2 linked regions of the Oryzias latipes genome follow. The protein of the gene in region 1 purifies or fractionates together with the protein of each later gene. This does not show direct contact. Links are inferred from orthologs where the notes say so. Each region holds a gene or a part of one and is shown on either strand. Other genes may lie near its edges. The genes, in order: braf and rptor.

Region 1 (9,042 bases):
AACGCATGTACAATGGCCACACATTTGAAGCCCAAAATGGTTGAAGGAACCTTTATAGCCATGGATTAACATGAGGGCTTTGAATGTGGAAGCCCAATATGCATATTCATTTACCTTTACATAGGCTTTTGGTCGAAAATGGCCGCTTGAACAGGAGAGGTGTGAATGTAGCTTTTCTCCTGATCAGCTGTAAGTCAAACTCCTGCCTAAAATGTCTCATTTCTAACCTCTGATGAATCGCTTGGCTATGCTGGAGGGCTGCTCTGTTATGACTTTCAACTAAAGTCTAAGAAATGAACACGCAGAGTAAGAAATGACGCCTTGGCTCAGGGTTTGTGTAAGTTTGCTGCAGCACTCGAAAAGCTGAACCAAAATACTCTTGGAGAATTAAAGGTGATCAAGCCGTTGTGTCTCTGCAGATCTGGAACATCAAGCAGATGATCAAGCTGACACAGGAGCACCTGGAGGCTCTTTTGGACAAGTTTGGAGGCGAACACAATCCTCCATCCATCTATTTGGAGGTGAGACCAGTTTGACCAGAACCTTTATTCAAGTAAAAGCTGGAGGTTGATGTTCTGCCCGCTTGTCTGCAATGTTCCTCCAGGCCTATGAAGAGTACACCAGTAAGCTGGATGCGCTGCAGCAACGGGAGCAGCAGCTGCTGGAGGCCATGGGGAACGGCGGCGACTTCTGCAGCCCCTCCCCTGTGCCAGCCCTGCTGGAGGTCAAGATGGGAAGCCTGGGGGTCGGAGGGGGGGTCCAGTCCTTTGCCTCGGCGCCCAACAGTTTAGCGGTCCTGCAGACTCCCACAGACGCCGTCCGAGGCAACCCTCGGTCCCCACAGAAGCCCATCGTCAGGGTCTTCCTGCCCAACAAGCAGAGAACAGTGGTAAGTCTGATGACTCATTCATTTACTCTGAGAAACCCCAGAGCACTTCACTTTCCCTCCACATGTGTTTTAAATAATAAGCAAATGATCACATGAAAACATCTTGTGGGTTCTGCTTTGACTATACGGTTTTAATGACCATGAATGCATCATCCAATGGGAGGGCCTGAAACCTTTATTTAAATAGAGGTTTTCAATGACCTCCAGCATGGTTGTGTCTACAGAAAAGGCTGAAAAGGTCATAGAATGGGGTCCAGGGTTCCTGTACAGCAGCACATGCGCAACAGAGAGGTTGAGGAAGATGAGTCTGGAGGAAGTTCTGCTTTTTCCTGATATGTAAAACCTCTGAGGGCGTGTTCTGTTTGTCACAACTCCACTTCCTCAGTGGCAGCATGCCAACGTTTACTTAGTGCTTCAAAGGGGAGAAGATATTATCAGGTCTGCATCTACCTGGCTGTCAGTGAACAGGATCTCCTGTTACTTCTAACCAGATCAGTCCAGGGTACACCAACTCCGTTTGTAATGTCTGAACCATTGACTGTATATGAGAACTGGACTGAGTGAGTTTGACATCACTCATAGAAGATGTCTTATTTCTGGCTCCAATGCGTGATGTCAATACAGTCACCGTTATCCGTGATATGGATGCCTTCCATGTTTTGACCATGTTGGACTGTCAATAAGCAGTGATTGGTCCAGGTAGGTCTGAGTAATCGTTTCTATGGCAACCACCAATCAGGAGTGAGCTTGTTGGAAGTCCACACCCCTACCACTGTGAGCAGGCTCCACGAAATGTGTCAAACGGTTTCAACGTGAGACCACCTACTTTTATTGAGGCATCTGATTGAACTACAAAAAATATCGTGAAAAAATGAGGATTATGAAGAACATGTTAAGAAAAAAGGTATCACATCAAGTATGGTTACTCTGACCAATAGAACGACTGACTAACAGCTGTTTATTTCGCTATAGATTCTATGGAATTTTTGGCTTCTTGGAACCAACAGTACTTCCTGTTTTGAACAGGTCAATGGTCTGAGCCTGATTGGTCCTTAGTGATATGTGTGGTCCTCAGGTTCCAGCCCGCTGCGGGATGACGGTGAGAGACTCCTTGAAGAAGGCTCTGATGATGAGGGGACTCATACCCGAGTGCTGCGCCGTCTACAGGATACAGGACGGGTGAGTCTGACACCATCTGCCCTACTCAAGGAAACCAAAGCCTTTTCTTCTAAGGAGGAGGATCACAATGAGTGATGGCAGAAATGTCTATAGGGCGCATCAGATCGTAACGTGTATCATCAACGTATTGGTCTTATGCCCTATAATTATTTTTAATGGTATAGGTTGATTCGATTCGATTCTGCCTCAGACCGATCGATCTGTTCTATACCAGGAATAGAAATCGTTTTGTGGATTAATCGTTACGCCTCTAGTTTGGATCTAGATTCCAGACGTTCATGGATCTATTTGTCTACAAGTTGATGCATCAGAATGGAGCAGAGCAGGGAGCTTGAGGTCCGCTCAGTGTATTTTGTACGTCACAAATAATCTCTTTTTTTTTTTTTTGTCTGCTCCTGATTTGGAAAAAGAAATACTCCAAAATGTAATTTCAAGCATCATTTTCTATAAAAATGTCCTCAATCATTTGAAAAATGCCATAAAAACATGTTCAAAACACTATTTTCCTCCGTTTAGGTCTTTAACCATCGTTCTGCACTGTTGAAACTGACTTGTTCAAGTCATGAATAACATGGAGACCAGAGAAAGTGGCAAATGAGAAATTTAAAGCTATTTATTACAAAAGTTAGAGGTATATGTTAGCGTAATATGCAGATGTGTGCGGTGATGAGCTGGTGGAAATGTTGAGTGTTGTAAATACAGTACAGACGCCCCAACGAGGACCTGCAGCACACAGAAGTAACATCCAACAGGCGAAAACTATTGAGTCTGAGAGCTCAACAGGTCAGGCCAGTTTTCTATGGAAACCAGAGTGGGCGCAGATCCGTGTGTGGCAATGTGTTTGGCAACGGGCTGCAACTTCTCCTCTAAAGTACTTTCACTTTTGGTGCCAGAGAGAAGAAGCCCATAGGCTGGGACACCGACATCTCCTGGCTGACGGGGGAGGAGCTGCATGTGGAGGTGCTGGAGAACGTGCCGCTCACCACTCACAACTTTGTAAGTAGGGGGTAAGGGGGCTGAGGTGCAGCGTCCGAATCCTCTAACCTTGACTTTCTGTCTGTGTGCTTCACAGGTGAGGAAGACCTTCTTCACTCTGGCCTTCTGTGATTTCTGCAGAAAGCTGCTCTTCCAGGGTTTCCGCTGTCAGACCTGTGGCTACAAGTTCCACCAGCGCTGCAGCACCGAGGTCCCCCTCATGTGTGTCAACTACGACCAGCTGGAGTAAGTCCAGAGAGTCCACCTCCTCACCTCGCGGGTGTGTTTCCAGGCCGCCATGTTTGTTCTAGCGCCCCATTAGCTGTCATGCGTTTGCTCTCCCCCCATCTGCATTCGGGAACCCCGTGGGTGTTTAACCTTCCAATCCAACCCTTAATGCTGAGTGTCAACCAGGGAGACACTAGGTCCCATTTTTAAAGTCTTTGGTTTGACCCAGCCATGAACTCGCGACCTTCCCGTCTCCGGGTGGACACTCTACCACAGGGCCACTGAGCTGGTTCATGGCTTGTCTCCTGTCTGAGCTGTTGGAGTTCTCATTTATCACTCGTTTATTTTCTGCAGTTTGTTGCTCGTGTCAAAGTTCTTTGAGCACCACCCGTTCAGCCATGAGGAGGTCTCCTCAGAGGGAACCACCCCCGTGTCTGAAGTCTGTCCACACCTCCCCCTCACCGACTCCACAGGGTGAGCCTTCGTCCTCTCGCTTTTCGGAGGGGTTTGGCAGTCAAGTGGCCTTAAGGCTCATTGATCTACTCTTTGTTCTGTCTTCAGGTCTATATGTCACCCCACTCTGTCCCCCTCCAAGTCCATCCCCATCCCGCCTAGTTACCGACCCAACGAGGAAGACCACCGCAACCAGTTTGGCCAGCGGGACCGCTCGTCCTCGGCCCCCAACGTCCATATCAACACCATTGAGCCTGTCAACATCGATGTGAGTTTCTCTGTAAAATCACCAACCACCATTTCCCAAAACGGTTTCACCTCAAAGGAGCTCACTGCTCTCCACAGCCTGACGAAGACGCAGACGTCTCCTTTGATTGATTTATTGATTGATTGATTGATTTTACGCTTTGTAGTCAAAGCAGTGAAGAATTCACACAGATTTATCAAACTCATTACAGAAATGATGAACTTCATCAATTAAAAAATATAAAGCAAAACAAAAAAACATTTGCTTAATTAAATATTGTGATCATTACCTGAAGTCATGTAAAACTTGCTTTATTTCTTGAAAAGGATGGGAAGAATCGAGCTTATAAAATCCCAACCCTAATAAATGAATAAATTTGACAGTTTTACACAGTTTTTGTAATCCCGTTCTGATCAGTAAATCTCTTTTCAAGTAACAGAATCCAGGGTTTATGAAGGATTGATTATCTTCAGAAAACATTCATTCATGCTGTCAGTAAACAGTAGTTGATCTGTAATAATCATTGATTATCATTAGAACTAATTAAACCAGTAATTATTGCTACACATTGCAGATCGAGTAGATAAGATCAATAGCTTATTCTAATTTAAAACATGTCAGTAATCATTGTTGCACATTACATAATGATGAGGTTAGTGTCGTGGCAGAAATCTGAATGTATCGGTTCTAAATCAAAGTACTTTCCTCATCCATCACTATGATTTTGAATGAGTTATCACTAGTTGGTTTGTGTTTATTCGCATAATTATGGTTCAATTGAAACTGTGTAATTGAGAATTTGTGTTTTTTCGACATTCCTAGATTTTTGATAACGTTTGTGTGTAAAGGAAACGCAGATACTGACCGGTTTAAACTGAATGGGGAAAAAGGAATCATTTACATTTTGACTGTGACTTTCTCAGTCCATTTCCTCTGGCTGATGTTTCCCTCCCTTGTTCCAGGACCTTATTCGGGATCAGGGCCTGCAGAGGTCTGACGGAGGTGAGATCCCAGTCTTTACCCATGTGCCCCCCTCAACCTGGAACTCCACCTGTCCATCATTATGTCTGAGGGCTGTAGTGCACAGCAGCCCAAGGCAGAAGCATGTCAACGTTAAAGCCAACAGTGAACGATGCCTTCATGTACACACAATTTCAATTCCATGGCCATTTGCAAACAGGAATTTCTACATTCAAGCTTTGTCTTAGGTTTAAATGATGCAAATTAACATTTATCATAACTGCATAGAAAACACATTGAGGTGAAAATTACAGCAACTTTTGTCAAATCTGTTTCACAGCCAATTCACAGAGTTTTAGTGCATCTTACTGCACTTTTTCAAATTAGCTTAAATCTATGCTCATCTTTTCTATAGTATGTGGCATTCTTGCTTTCAGACTTTTCTTCTAGTAACCACAGAACAGATGTCAGAGTGTCAGCGCACTTCTGCTGATGGAGGAGGTTTAAAAAAAACAACACGATGACCTGACAGAACCAGCAGGGGTTGGTTAAAGGAGTCCTTTTGAATTTACGGTCTAGTCTTCATAAAGACTTCTTAGCTGTTGGGGTGAATCCTCTCCCATCATTAAATACGTCAAATGTCTGTCAGACATCGTCACACGTGCTGATGATTGCTGAGGTGTTTCTGCTCATTCGTCAGATTCGCTGAGCTCCGTTTCTAGCGGCTTTTAGTCACAGTTTTAAAGAAGTTTATTGGCGGTCTTCAAACCGAGGGCTACCATGACACTGAGCCTCAGAGAGGACGGCTCAGTGAACTCCCCATCACTGGACTTATGTGACACAGGACAGGAGGAAGCAGCTCCTCATAACTGAATGCGCCTTTGAGAGCCAAACTGACACTTCCTGTCTTGATCACGGTGCTTGTATGTTTGTGTAAATGTGACTGAGATGCTTGCATAAAAACATCTAAGTTCAAAGCCCCCCCTTCACAAATTTATGACCTACTGTTGGATTTGGGGGGGTCCCTAGTGTTTTAGGAAGAAAGTCAGCCGAAGGAGACTTGTCTCTGCCAACAAACCTGAGATTACAGAAACAAACTCTGGGTTCGTGCTCTGAGGTTCTGACTGCAGGTGGACTGGAGATGACGTCAAGTTTGAAATCTCCAGCTTTCATGAGCCTCACACACCTGATCCACCTTCTTCTTCATCATCATCCTCCCTCAGGCTCCACTACCGGTCTATCGGCCACGCCTCCAGCCTCGCTACCTGGCTCTCTGACCAACGTCAAAGTCCCACAGAAGTCGCCGTGTCAACAGAGGGAGCGCAAGTCGTCTTCATCCTCTGAGGATCGCAATAAGATGGTGAGAGGCGTCAGTCAGGGCTGTGCCGCGGCACAGCGTGTGGTCGCTCTGACTTCCTGTCCTGTGGAGCAGAAACCGCTGGGCAGGAGAGACTCCAGCGACGACTGGGAGATCCCGGAAGGCCAGATCACTTTGGGTCAGAGGATAGGCTCCGGATCCTTCGGAACCGTCTTTAAGGGAAAATGGCACGGTATGGATCCAACCAGCATTATTTTGTAGACTCTTCTGAGTCATGTAACCTCTCTGCTCTCCTTCAAGCCAAAACAATCCAAGATGGCAGCTCAAACTGGAGCTTCTGCTCTGTTTAGTTCAGAACATTACCAGTCTGTGTGCACCCATACAGACTTTAAGGTTTCATTCAGTACCATGTCAATCCCCTGAAAAACAAAGACGGAAAGAAAGACTTCTGGGATTCGGTCACTGTGAAAATGCAGCCGTCTCATCATACAGAGCTGGATATCAGTGATGTTTACTGTCACCTGCTAAGAGAAGTCCTCACCTTATACCCCCCAGAACATAAATGTACAAAAGTATAGACTGGTATCTGTAATCAGGATGAAGTAAAATGTCTTCACTGTAAGAATGAAGTAGATAGCTAACTGCCGGGGTAGGTCATAAATATTACAGCTACTTTCAGGAACATTGTAGTCAGAGTTGGAGACAAATAATTATCTAGTCCATACACTACACTAATGTTATACTGGGTGAAGTTACTGGAAGTGAGGGAATCTGAAGGCAGTACCACACAGCCACTACGTACATTTGGAGCTATTGCACCAATGAAAACTGGTCATACGTGAAAAAGTCAGAAAGGTTCTTTATCAGGAAAGAATCACGTTAAAACCCCGGAAAAAGTATGAATAAACCACGCTAAGAACCCGTAAAACATAGAAGATGACCCGTGTGTGATTGTTGTGCTGTTTATACTCAATTCATTAGTGATTTGTGGTCCAACTAAGTAATTTGAATGTGATATACTAAAAACAATAATCCATTTTATTTAAATTCACCTTTCAAGAAACTCAAGGACAATGTGTACAAAACAGAGGTCCAAAGGTTCAGAAATACTCAATTAAAAACACAATAATTAATGAGTTAACAAATTCAAAAGTGAAGCTCAAAGATAAATGCGCTGTAAAGTGAAACATCTCTGGTACATGCGTGAAAAGTCCGTTAGACATACGTGGAACGGCCGTGGACAGCCACAAATGTGCGTACGCATTAGGGATGGGTGAGACGTCGGTGTCGGTATCGGATATTTATTTGCATAATTTCTAACAATCTGTATCGTTATCGATATTTAAAAAAATCAACCAGTACTTGTCTGACTGTTTTCAAATACACTTTATTATTGAAATGGGCACTTGTTCATAATAGATCCCCGGCACTAGGAAGCTTATGGTTTACAGTTGTGTCCTACAGTCAATCAATAGTATGAATGTTTTTAAATATATACTCAAAGTTTTAAAGTGATACTTGCTCCTTTAAGATCCCTTTTGTATGTTAAAAAGGTCAAGCAAAATGTGATTGTACAGCAAACGAAAAGTTGTGCATTTCTAATAAAGACACAAAAGGGAAATATAAACTTTGGTTATTGTAGACACCTAAATATCGGTTATCGGCCACAGTTGTAGGGGTAATATCAATTATTGCTTTTGGCCGGAAAAAATGAAATCAGCCTATCCCCAGTATGCATCTAACAAAAATCCCTCACAGTTACGTAAGATTTACTTTATAATTGAGTATAAACTATGTAAAGTACAAATAAACAGGTAAAAAAAACTCAATCGACCAAAAATCGTAAACGGCTCAAAACCGAATTCACGTTAAGACCAGTCGGCCCATACCCTCGAGGGACATCGTGACGAACGCAAGAAAAACTCATGAATTATGTATAAATCATGAAACAGCAACATTTCATACGTGGGAAATGCACAAAATGAACGCAGTGGCTGTGTGATACGGCCTTTGGCCTGCAGTTCAGATGTGCTTTAGATGGAATGTTCTTCCATCTTTGGTCCAATCTTCTTGAACTAATACTTCTGGTTTGACATTGAAGCAGGAGATAACAGGAATGTCTTTCGTGTGGCTCCCTGCATCCCTGCTCTGATGTTTCTTAAATGTTGCTGCTACACTCCTGTCATAGGTGACGTGGCAGTGAAGATGCTGAACGTCACCGATCCCACGCCTCAGCAGCTTCAGGCCTTCAAGAATGAAGTAGGCGTCCTCAGGTAATTCCCTAGGATGGGTCGTCACTCCGCAGTGCCTTTCTTCTGTTAAACTCCAACAGAGGCTAAATAAGGTGTGTTTGCGTCAGGAAAACGCGCCATGTCAACATCCTACTGTTCATGGGCTACACTACCAAGCCTCAGCTGGCCATCGTGACCCAGTGGTGTGAGGGTTCTAGTCTGTACCACCACCTGCACATCATCGAGACCAAGTTTGAGATGATCAAGTTGATCGACATCGCCCGACAGACCGCCCAGGGCATGGAGTGAGTTCCTCTACCTGTTTTACTCACGCTCGGCATGCAGTTACCCATAAAGCCCTCTGCTTCCATCCTCAGCTACCTGCACGCCAAGTCCATCATCCACAGAGATCTAAAGAGCAACAGTATCCTTATAATGTTGGTCTGCTTGATGGAGGGATTGAGTGAGGGGGGGGAACCCTGTTGAAAACATGTCCTTGACCCGATTTCCTCCCAGATATTTTCCTACATGAAGACCTGACGGTGAAAATTGGAGACTTTGG
Region 2 (9,042 bases), on another chromosome or scaffold:
GTCAACATCCTAAAAGGTGCTGTGCGCCCGCACGATGCGAGCAGCGCTTGAAGGCTTGTTTCTCATAACTTCATTTCAGCTTCATTCATGTCCTGCTGTAACTCACTTTCACTGAACGCTGCTCTGACTCACACACTCCCAAACACCATGCGTCGTCCTCTAACGCTGCAGGCTGCAATGTGGAAACAGAGAGAACAGAAACTTGCCCTGCTTGTGAGCTTATTGGTGATAAACAGCCCTGCACACTGGGGCAGGCGGCGAGAATGAGAATTAGAAATGGAGTCGGCAGCAGGTGAGGCACTTTGGCAAGTTCCGGAGATTTAGAGCTACTTAGGGCTTGTCCATGCTCAGTCTGGCAGCGGTACACAGGGAGAGTGCAGCTGCCCTACCAGCCTAAATCACTGAGATGTGACAGAGACACAGAGGGCTTGCAGCACATAAGTCAAGGCAGGTTGGGTGCTCAAAAGGTTGTGGAAGAAAACGGTCCAATAACAGGGATGTGACTGACAGTCGGAACAAATCTCTTCAGTAAAAAAGTTGCAACCTTTTCCATGGGAGCTTCCACAAGTTTAACTTTTTTTCTACGGTTCCTGAAAGATCAAGGAATACTATTCCATTGAGTTGTGTAACGCAAAAGCTGAACCTAGATGTGTCAGTGCAACCTGTATCAAAGAGATCTATAGGATCAGGGAGAGTGGGCGAAAAAAGTCTCCTTTAAGTAACCGACACATTCTAACGCCTTCAGCATAAGAAGAAGAGTCGCAGTTTGGTAAGAAATCAGATTGGTGTTTAAATACGGAACAATACTTCTGGCAGTCAACCGTTTCCACAGTTGGTAAACCGACATTTTTGCAGCCGATTATCACCGCTCTGATTGATCTTTCTCCTCTGATCATATCGGCTTGTAAAAAAAGATAAAGGGGGATTAAAAACACTGTGTCTAACCCAAAACATCTAAACTGGGTTCTGATTCACCTAAAAACAAGAACTAATGGGTCATTTTTCAGAAGGGGTGTGCCTAAATATACGACTGTTTGGTTGTGACATAATATTTTTACATACATGTTTGATGATTGTGTAAAGAAAACAATCCACTCTGAGACAAAATGTTTAAAAAAGTCAATAAACAAACTAATCTTTGAATCTTAAACCCTTCTTTTAAAGCTTCAAAAGACACCTTTTCAACTCACAGTGTTTATTTGTTATGAGGTAATAAAGATCCTGTCATTTTAAATATTTAATAAGAATTGTCAGATCTTACCATTTAAATATGAGGTAATTACAGTGTACACAGTCTGATTCACTGATCAGTATAAATCAGCAAAGTCATATTTTTAAATATTTTGTATGAATAAACATTTTGTGTCCCATGTCAAATATTTTCATTGTGATTAACAAGCAACAAAAAAGTAGAATACAGTCATTTTTAGGAGCTCTTGGAGATCTGAAATGTTGATTATCTTTTGTTCTGCAGGAAAGCCAAATTATAACAAATGAGTGTTTTAAGTTTTTCAACTAAAAATCCCAAAAATGTTAAGATTTAAAATAATATTAAATGTTGGAACTGATTTGTAAAAGCCCACATGTTGTGTGAGGTCAAAGTGGGTTAAGTGGCAGACTCCTTGTCTTCAGCACCACGGACAGTTCCCGCGTCACGATGATGATAATCAACCAGAAGCAGAGGAGCTTAGCAGCGTAAACAAATATGGAATACATGATAAAAGTAAGGTATATTAATACTGACATCCAGGAGGGAAACTAAGAAATATACTTTTTTCTTAAGTGGGAAAGAGCAACAACAGACATTAATGCCTCGCTTTCACTGAGTGGTCCGGTACAGTCCCGTTTGGTATTTTAAGTGTTTCCGTTATAAAATGGACCCATTAAGCTGGAGTGAGTCGTATTATTTTTGGGCCCCGGTCGTTTATAGGTCCACAGAAAAATAGTTGGGGCGAAGCTGCTATTGAAACCCGTTGATTGGCTGAAAGTGATTACAACAAATGAAGGCACCAAAAAAAGCTGCTGAACTCCTCTTCACCGCCGGCAAACTTCTCTCAAACAGCATTCCTTAATCTACTTGAAGTACCAAAAGACAAGCAGAGAAAAATGAGCTGCTGGATGACCTCTATTGTTGTTGTTAGCTAAACCGGACTGGTGAAAACGAGGTTTAACGATAACTGCTGTTAAGTAAAAATGCAAAATAGATGGCAAAAGTAATTTATAGTTGCAGAAATCTGGGGGGGGGAAAGACTCTCAGAACAAAAGTGTTTAAAGCCACATCAACCCCAAACTCTGATCATCTTCAACATTTAATTTAAGAAGAAAGTTGTAGCAAAAATAATGAAAGTCTTAGGCTTTAAACAGCAACTGTATCTGTACAGTAAATGTTCTGATGATCTTTTACTCTGATTGTTACTATTTCCTTCACTAACTGAATCCTCAGTAGCCCTCCTTTAAAGTTATGTTTGTGTCTGAACTCACTCACTACTCCCTGGTTAGAGCACTTTATAAGGCCCTCATCATTTTGTCGGAATCCGAATCAACAATTCTAACATCCAGTGACCCGGAGATTTCTCTGTGCGCACTGATGCTCACTAAATTGGTGAGTATAGACCTATGCGTTGTGGTTGAACGAAAAATATTTATGAAGTTTATTTATTTATTTAATTATAGAAGTTTTCATCATCAGATACAGTTGAGTCTTTGTCAAATGTTAATATTTGCTAGGTTTTAGTTTGGCTAATGTCATAGGTGACATTTAAAAAACTTAAAAAATAAAAATAAAATAAAAAGTATTCAGCGTGCTTCTGAATTAATGCATAATGGATAGTCTGGCACTACTGCTTATTGCCTTTTGAGTAGTACCGAGGGAATTCGGACATGTGATCTTTATCATGTTCTCTCATCCTCTATTTCCCAGCTTTCCCTGGGGTCTCACCTTCCTCGTTGAGATTGAGGTTCTGCAGACTTTTATTCAGATTCCGGGCGGTGGTGACAGCTCGGATGTTGGTGTAGGAGTTGACAGATCGCAGGCGGGGGATGGCGGGACTGTCCCTTACTGGCGTGAGGTTCCCAGGCTCTAATCAGCAGCAGACAGCAACAGGTTAGAGCATTAAAAAAAAAAAAAAAAAAAAGCTCTTCTCTTCTCACAAAAGGATTTACGAATAGATTCCAAATTACAGGATAGGTTAGGGAAAAAGAGTAATTACTGTCCTAGAATTCAGTGCTCCCCCGGTGTATAAAGCAACAGGATTGGTTGATTAAACCCCAGTGAGGTTTCAAACAAAAGTGTGGTCCATGAATGTAGAACTTCCTCATAAACTTACCCCTGCAACCCCTACACACCTGACTGAGAAGAGAAGCTTATTTCCAGCTTTAGATCCCTTGAGCTCCTCCTTAAATTTATTCTAAACCCTGTGATGGATAAACGCAAAACATATTTGGAAAAACACGCTTCATCTCCACCTCCATCTCAACGGTTTCAGACTGGAAAGTCCTTTTCAAGTCATGTTTTTGTCAGAAGGAGGAGGAAAAAAACTGCCAGAACAATGTGGAGAAATGGCATAAGCTGCGATTGCTGACATGTTTTAGCAGCTGCTGCTATGAAGTTTGGGAGACAAGGCGCTGGTGTCGCCAGGTGTGTACCTGTAGTGTTAGCGGGTGACGGCACCGAGTAGTTCTTCTCTTCTTCTATAAACTGGAGGGCAACTGTGCAGAAGTTGCTTTCATACTGAACCACCAGGTGACTCAGCGCGACCACCAGCTCCTGAAAAAAAAATATAAACACATTCAGAGAATCCAGTAACTCCCAAACAGATTTTCTTCCTGTCATGTAGGACGGTTGCTTCCGTCAAGTCCATAAATTTCTCAAAGGGCTTTTTCCTGCTTATACCATGGCCACTTACCAAAGGAATAAATAGTACATAAATTATTAGTACTTCAATCTTGATTTTTTTTTAAACACTTATATCATGCTTTTCTTAAGCCTTTCAGAGTAAACCATATCCATATATATATATATATATATATATATATATATATATATATATTGATAAATATATGATAATATATATTACCTTTGGCACACTAAGGAACACATTTTTTTTAATTAAATATGAGTCATTTTTTTACAGTTACTGTAAAAACTCGATCTCTGAGGCACTGCCTTTTTCTCCTGTGACGTCAACCTAGAGCCCACGAAATCAAACATCCGAACTTTTGCAAAGATGGATGTACATATAAAATAAAAATGTTTAGTCAGTCACAGCTAGCTACCCTGAGAAAGTGTGTGTGTTAGCCTGGGAGCCGTGATGGCAGTGCAAAATCTTCCTGGAAGGGGCTGTTCTCACTTTGTGATGTCACAATGTGAGGACCCGCTTGTTTTTGTGGATTGGGAGGGGCTGGTGCTCAGAGTGCAGGATTTTAGAGGAATACTCAGAGATGCTGGAATGGAGCAAAATACCACTTTGGGGTTGAACATTATAATACACTTAAAAGCTAATAAAAAGGAATTTTGTCATGATATAGACCTTTAAATGTTTAATCAGTTTTTCACAAGAAGCAGACTTTTAAACATGGGCTGTGACTCATTGTCATGGTAATGGGTACAGAACCTCTCAATCTGCTGCAGATGATGTGAGGACTAACCAGCAGGGGAAAGCAGTAAAGGTGCAAAAATCCTGAAAAGTGATCCAAAGAATAATTTTCGAGGTAAGGTTCACCACTTGTTTTTATCCAGACAATGAAGCAAAAGTTTGTTTCAAAGAAGCCAGTACAGCGATACAGAACATATGGGCTATGTGAACGGAACTTCATATTTAGGTGTACATTATCACTGTCCATTATCACATTTTAGTTCACACCCAGCAGCCAATCAGAATCGAGTATTCCCCTGGACCATGGTATAAATCGTTATCACGTCTCGGATGTTTTCCTTTGATTATCTGTGGTTACACACATGGAAGTATCTTAGTTTAACTCAGAAATCTCCTCAAAACAAATGGTTTTGGAGTGCTAAAAGTGCTGCTTACACCTTCAGAGAAATGTTGCTTTTATTTGTAGAGAGTGGGAGGAGAGCTCTGCAGCTTCACTCCTGTCAGGGCTGTAAGTTTAAGACTCCAACTGGGAGGTAATTAGTTTTTAAGTTAGCATTCAGGAGGCAGGGGTAAACACTCACCCCATTCCTACAAACACATCTGATGAAGTTTCCAAAATGTCAGAAAATTGTCTTTGTCCAGCAATGTGATTTCTACGTTTGTTCTCAGAGAATAAACACCAGAAAAACTGTCTTTTAATGATTTAAATGTATATTTTTTGCATTAAAGTCAGCATTACAGCACACAGAGCTTAGCATGTGGATGTTTTTGTGCTTCACAGACCTTCCGGACCACAGGGCTGCCATCATTGATAAGCTGCGCCAGCATCATCGCCACGTTGTGGTCGATGGTGGTGGAGTGATCCGTCCTCTCTCCGGAGTTTCCGACAAATGTTCCCAGAGCAAAGACAGCTGCACACCTCACCTGCAGTCACACAAACCAGACAAAGAGCTCGTCTATCTGTCCTTCAGGGAGAACTTGGCTGTAATGACATTAATGAATTCCCGTCCGAGCTCAGTTTTCAGCCTTTGAAAGTCAAATATTTGCTCACCAGAATCACACAAAAATGCTTTAATGACTATAGAGACAAGTGGATGAAAGTATTCGAGGTCATTACAGTTCAATTTTCCGGCTCAGCGTGAGAGTGAAACGCAGAGATCATTAGTCCTGAAGCCTCTTTGTGCAGAGTTTTAACATTGACGCTTTTGTCTCTGCTTCAGTGAGTCTCTCAGAGAGAAGGGGGCGTGGCCACTCGGATAGACCTGATGGCTTTGTTTGGCGGGCCACGCCCATCGACAGTAAACAGAGTAAACATCTTTATGCTTCTATTTTTCTGACATATGGAAAAAAACATGCATAAAAGACAATAACTGTTTCTTTACTCCCTCTCAGAAAAGCCTCAATTAGGAAATTAGGTCACAAACTGAGCTAAAACTGAAGAAATATTTACCTAAATTTAGCTTTTAGCTAAAACATATGAGGAGTCCCATACTATGAATGTGCAACACTGATAAATAATCTTCACTTTCAACACAAAACTATAGATGACAGTTTGGATTTTCTCGCTCTAGTGGATGTATATTTTTTAACCAATCAGCAACCTCTTTATCTTTGTAGATTAAGATTATTTCCGAATGAAAGCAAGTGGAGCAGGGCGCAGTTCACCAATTAGCCTGCGGGGGTTTGTTACAACTAAAAGCTGCTTCTAACATTTCAACAGATTTTGACATACAGCTCTAGAGCTGGGTTTAAAGAAGGATTAATTAAAATTAAAAACTGCAATTCTGATTCTTAAGATCTCTAAATTAGTTTTAAAATTTAAATTACTTTTTTAAGGCAGAAATAGCTTTTCTATTTGGGTTTTATTTTGGTCAAAACTCATTGTTTTATCCCTGAAAGTTCCAACTTTGTTTAGTATAAGTCATTATTTAAGTCAAATTAGTTTTTACAACTAAACAAAACATTTCTGAAAATGGAAATTAAACTAATAAATATATATTTAATCAAATTGTTTTGAATAGGAAATGGTATCTATTGTCAACTCGCTAATCTAAACTGAATTATTGATCCACAAAATTCTTTGTCTGTTTTTTATTTAGCAAATTACTGACATGTGTTGTAGGTAATTCAAAATCTTTTTTGTCATATTTGAACGCCAAACTGTGTAAAAAAGGACGTGGTCTTCTGACTCACAGGTCTTGGTCAGGTGTTTATCTTGTTTTAGTTCAAGTATTGTCCATAAAAAACCCCAAAAAATCTAGAGTTTGGAAACACATTGATAATAGGAGGCAATGATCATCTCTTTAGAAATCAGTCGGTCACAGGACCATAGCAGCTGTCCAATCTTTTTTTTTTTTTTTTTTTTTTTTTATACACTGTATTTTATCCCACGAAGGGAAATTCTTTCTCCGCATTTGACCAGCCGAAACCGCGCTCGGGAGGCAGTATCGTTAAGGGTCTTGCCTAAGGACCCTCACTGGGTGATGTTAACTGCTCGCCATTGATATGGTAATTGCCCCCAGTACCATTGCTCATTCCCCTCCAGGAATTGAACCCCCTTTTACCGTCCTTGAGTTTAGTTTTCACTTAAAACCAGCAGATGTTGTCTAACTCTTCCAGTTCTGCAGGGAGTAGACAGTGTACGTAGACCTTACCTAGACAGATGTCCTGCTTTTACATCTGCACAAGAGAATAACACGCATATATGTATTTGTACTTTTATGTAACACACATTGAACTGGACAGAGTGAGTGCGACGTCACCCATAGAAAATGAATTCAATTCAGTCGCTGTTTTTTTCACGATACAATGTTGGAGCCAAACAGTAAGCAGTGTTTGTTCTGAGTTTATTTGAATCAGCGTTTCTATGGCAACTACTCTTGACAATCAGGAGTGGGCCTATTGGAAGGAACTCCACAGCCCTACCAATTGAAAGCGGGCTACACAAAATCTGTCAATCAAACCTTTCCAACGTTTGATGAGAGACAACAGTTTTGGCATTACTATTGTAAATGTGGTAAACGGATCTTCTCATCAAGACAAAATGATTTTTTTGTACTTCCTGACCTCAGATATGCATGTAGCTTGATTTTGAACAGAAATATTTTGTAGTTATTAATGTAATTTTTAAGTCCAAGTCCAAGTAAGTCCAAACTAATATTTTAGTATGAGCAAAATCCCTGAAATCTGCCAGGTTACACAATCCAAGAGCAGTTGATTCATCAAGTGTCACAGAAAATGTTTTCATTTTCAGAAGAATTGGATGGAAAAAATTGCAGAAGAACTGAACTGCTGAGCCAAGCACAGGATAAAAAAGGCATAATTCTTAAAACAGTCATGTTTCTGTGCTTCATCTGTAGAGTCTTCCTCCAGCTCAGGCTCCCACACAGCTCCCCACTTTAGTCATGATATACCTGCTAAAAAAAAAAAACAGTCTGTGGATCCAGCTCACCCTTCAGGATGGGTACGTTTGGGAAGAGTCAGCTTCTGACAACTTCTTTTCAAATAAGAATAGCAGTCACATAGGTGTTAAACCCTATGAGAATCGCGTTCCCAGCAGCGCAAAAATAGTCACACAGCACAAATACTTCATCCCTTTAACAGCAGAACTTGGAAATCTTGAGGTTTTTCCTGCAGCCGTGTTTCTGACTTCTCACCTCAGGGATGGGATCCGACAGCAGGGTGTACAGCTTTTCGTGGGCGCTATCTCGGACTCCACACCACCGAGCTGGGTCGAAGTTCTGCCAGATGCGGCCCAGGCAAATGGCCACCCACTGGCGGAGCAGCGGGTGGGGGTCAGACAGCTGCTCCAGGCAGTTGGCTATCAGGTTGCCCTGCAAACAGGCTTCCTGGAGAGGACAGAGGAGACGGTGCTGAAGAACTTTCTAAAGGAAAAATTTGTTTTAGACTTTTGCTATTAAAGAAGAAAACAACTGGAAGCAGATTAGAGAAAACTGAGTGAACTATAAAGTAACTTCAGTCGATACCAGCAATACCAGCTCAGTTAAGTTACTCTAAACAAAAGAAAAGTTGTCTTGGTAGTTTATTTCCTTTCTTACAGGCATCCGTTTTTATCTTTTTACTTATTTCAAGTCAGAAAAGCAAACATTTAGGCAATAAAGTATTCTTTATTTTAAGGTGATGCTTTAAAATGGTTTAAATTGAATGTCGATGTCAGTAAAAACACAGGAAGTGTTAGGGCCGTGTCGCACAGCCACTACGCACATTTTGCACATATCGCATGAATGAAAACTGGTCATACGTGAATTTACGTGGGAAAAAATGATTCATGCGCATTTTGTATGTGATTTATTAGTGAATCCTGCGTCAATTACTTAATTTTAGTGTGATATGTGCACCGTTGGCGCGATATAAAAGTTATACACCGGTGGTACATGTGTGAAAAGTCCTTCAGACATACGTGAACATTCATGGAACCATTTGACCA

The links.
Region 2: the proteins of braf (region 1) and rptor purify together in Homo sapiens (affinity purification with mass spectrometry; 3 studies listed by BioGRID and IntAct, with this or other methods). This does not show direct contact. The link is inferred for Oryzias latipes from reciprocal best matches to the Homo sapiens genes BRAF and RPTOR.

Annotation. Positions count from the first base shown.
Region 1 is NC_019881.2:4,414,003-4,423,044, forward strand, and holds part of braf (serine/threonine-protein kinase B-raf), read left to right. Parts: intron 1-419; coding exon 420-521; intron 522-604; coding exon 605-889; intron 890-1,964; coding exon 1,965-2,068; intron 2,069-2,961; coding exon 2,962-3,064; intron 3,065-3,140; coding exon 3,141-3,289; intron 3,290-3,625; coding exon 3,626-3,745; intron 3,746-3,832; coding exon 3,833-3,992; intron 3,993-4,933; coding exon 4,934-4,973; intron 4,974-6,154; coding exon 6,155-6,291; intron 6,292-6,363; coding exon 6,364-6,481; intron 6,482-8,437; coding exon 8,438-8,522; intron 8,523-8,608; coding exon 8,609-8,785; intron 8,786-8,857; coding exon 8,858-8,904; intron 8,905-8,996; coding exon 8,997-9,042. UniProt on the Homo sapiens protein: Protein kinase involved in the transduction of mitogenic signals from the cell membrane to the nucleus. Phosphorylates MAP2K1, and thereby activates the MAP kinase signal transduction pathway. Phosphorylates PFKFB2.
Region 2 is NC_019859.2:4,583,205-4,592,246, forward strand, and holds part of rptor (regulatory-associated protein of mTOR), read right to left. Parts: intron 8,444-9,042; coding exon 8,252-8,443; intron 5,520-8,251; coding exon 5,379-5,519; intron 3,767-5,378; coding exon 3,646-3,766; intron 3,415-3,645; coding exon 3,346-3,414; intron 3,080-3,345; coding exon 2,939-3,079; intron 1-2,938. UniProt on the Homo sapiens protein: Component of the mechanistic target of rapamycin complex 1 (mTORC1), an evolutionarily conserved central nutrient sensor that stimulates anabolic reactions and macromolecule biosynthesis to promote cellular biomass generation and growth.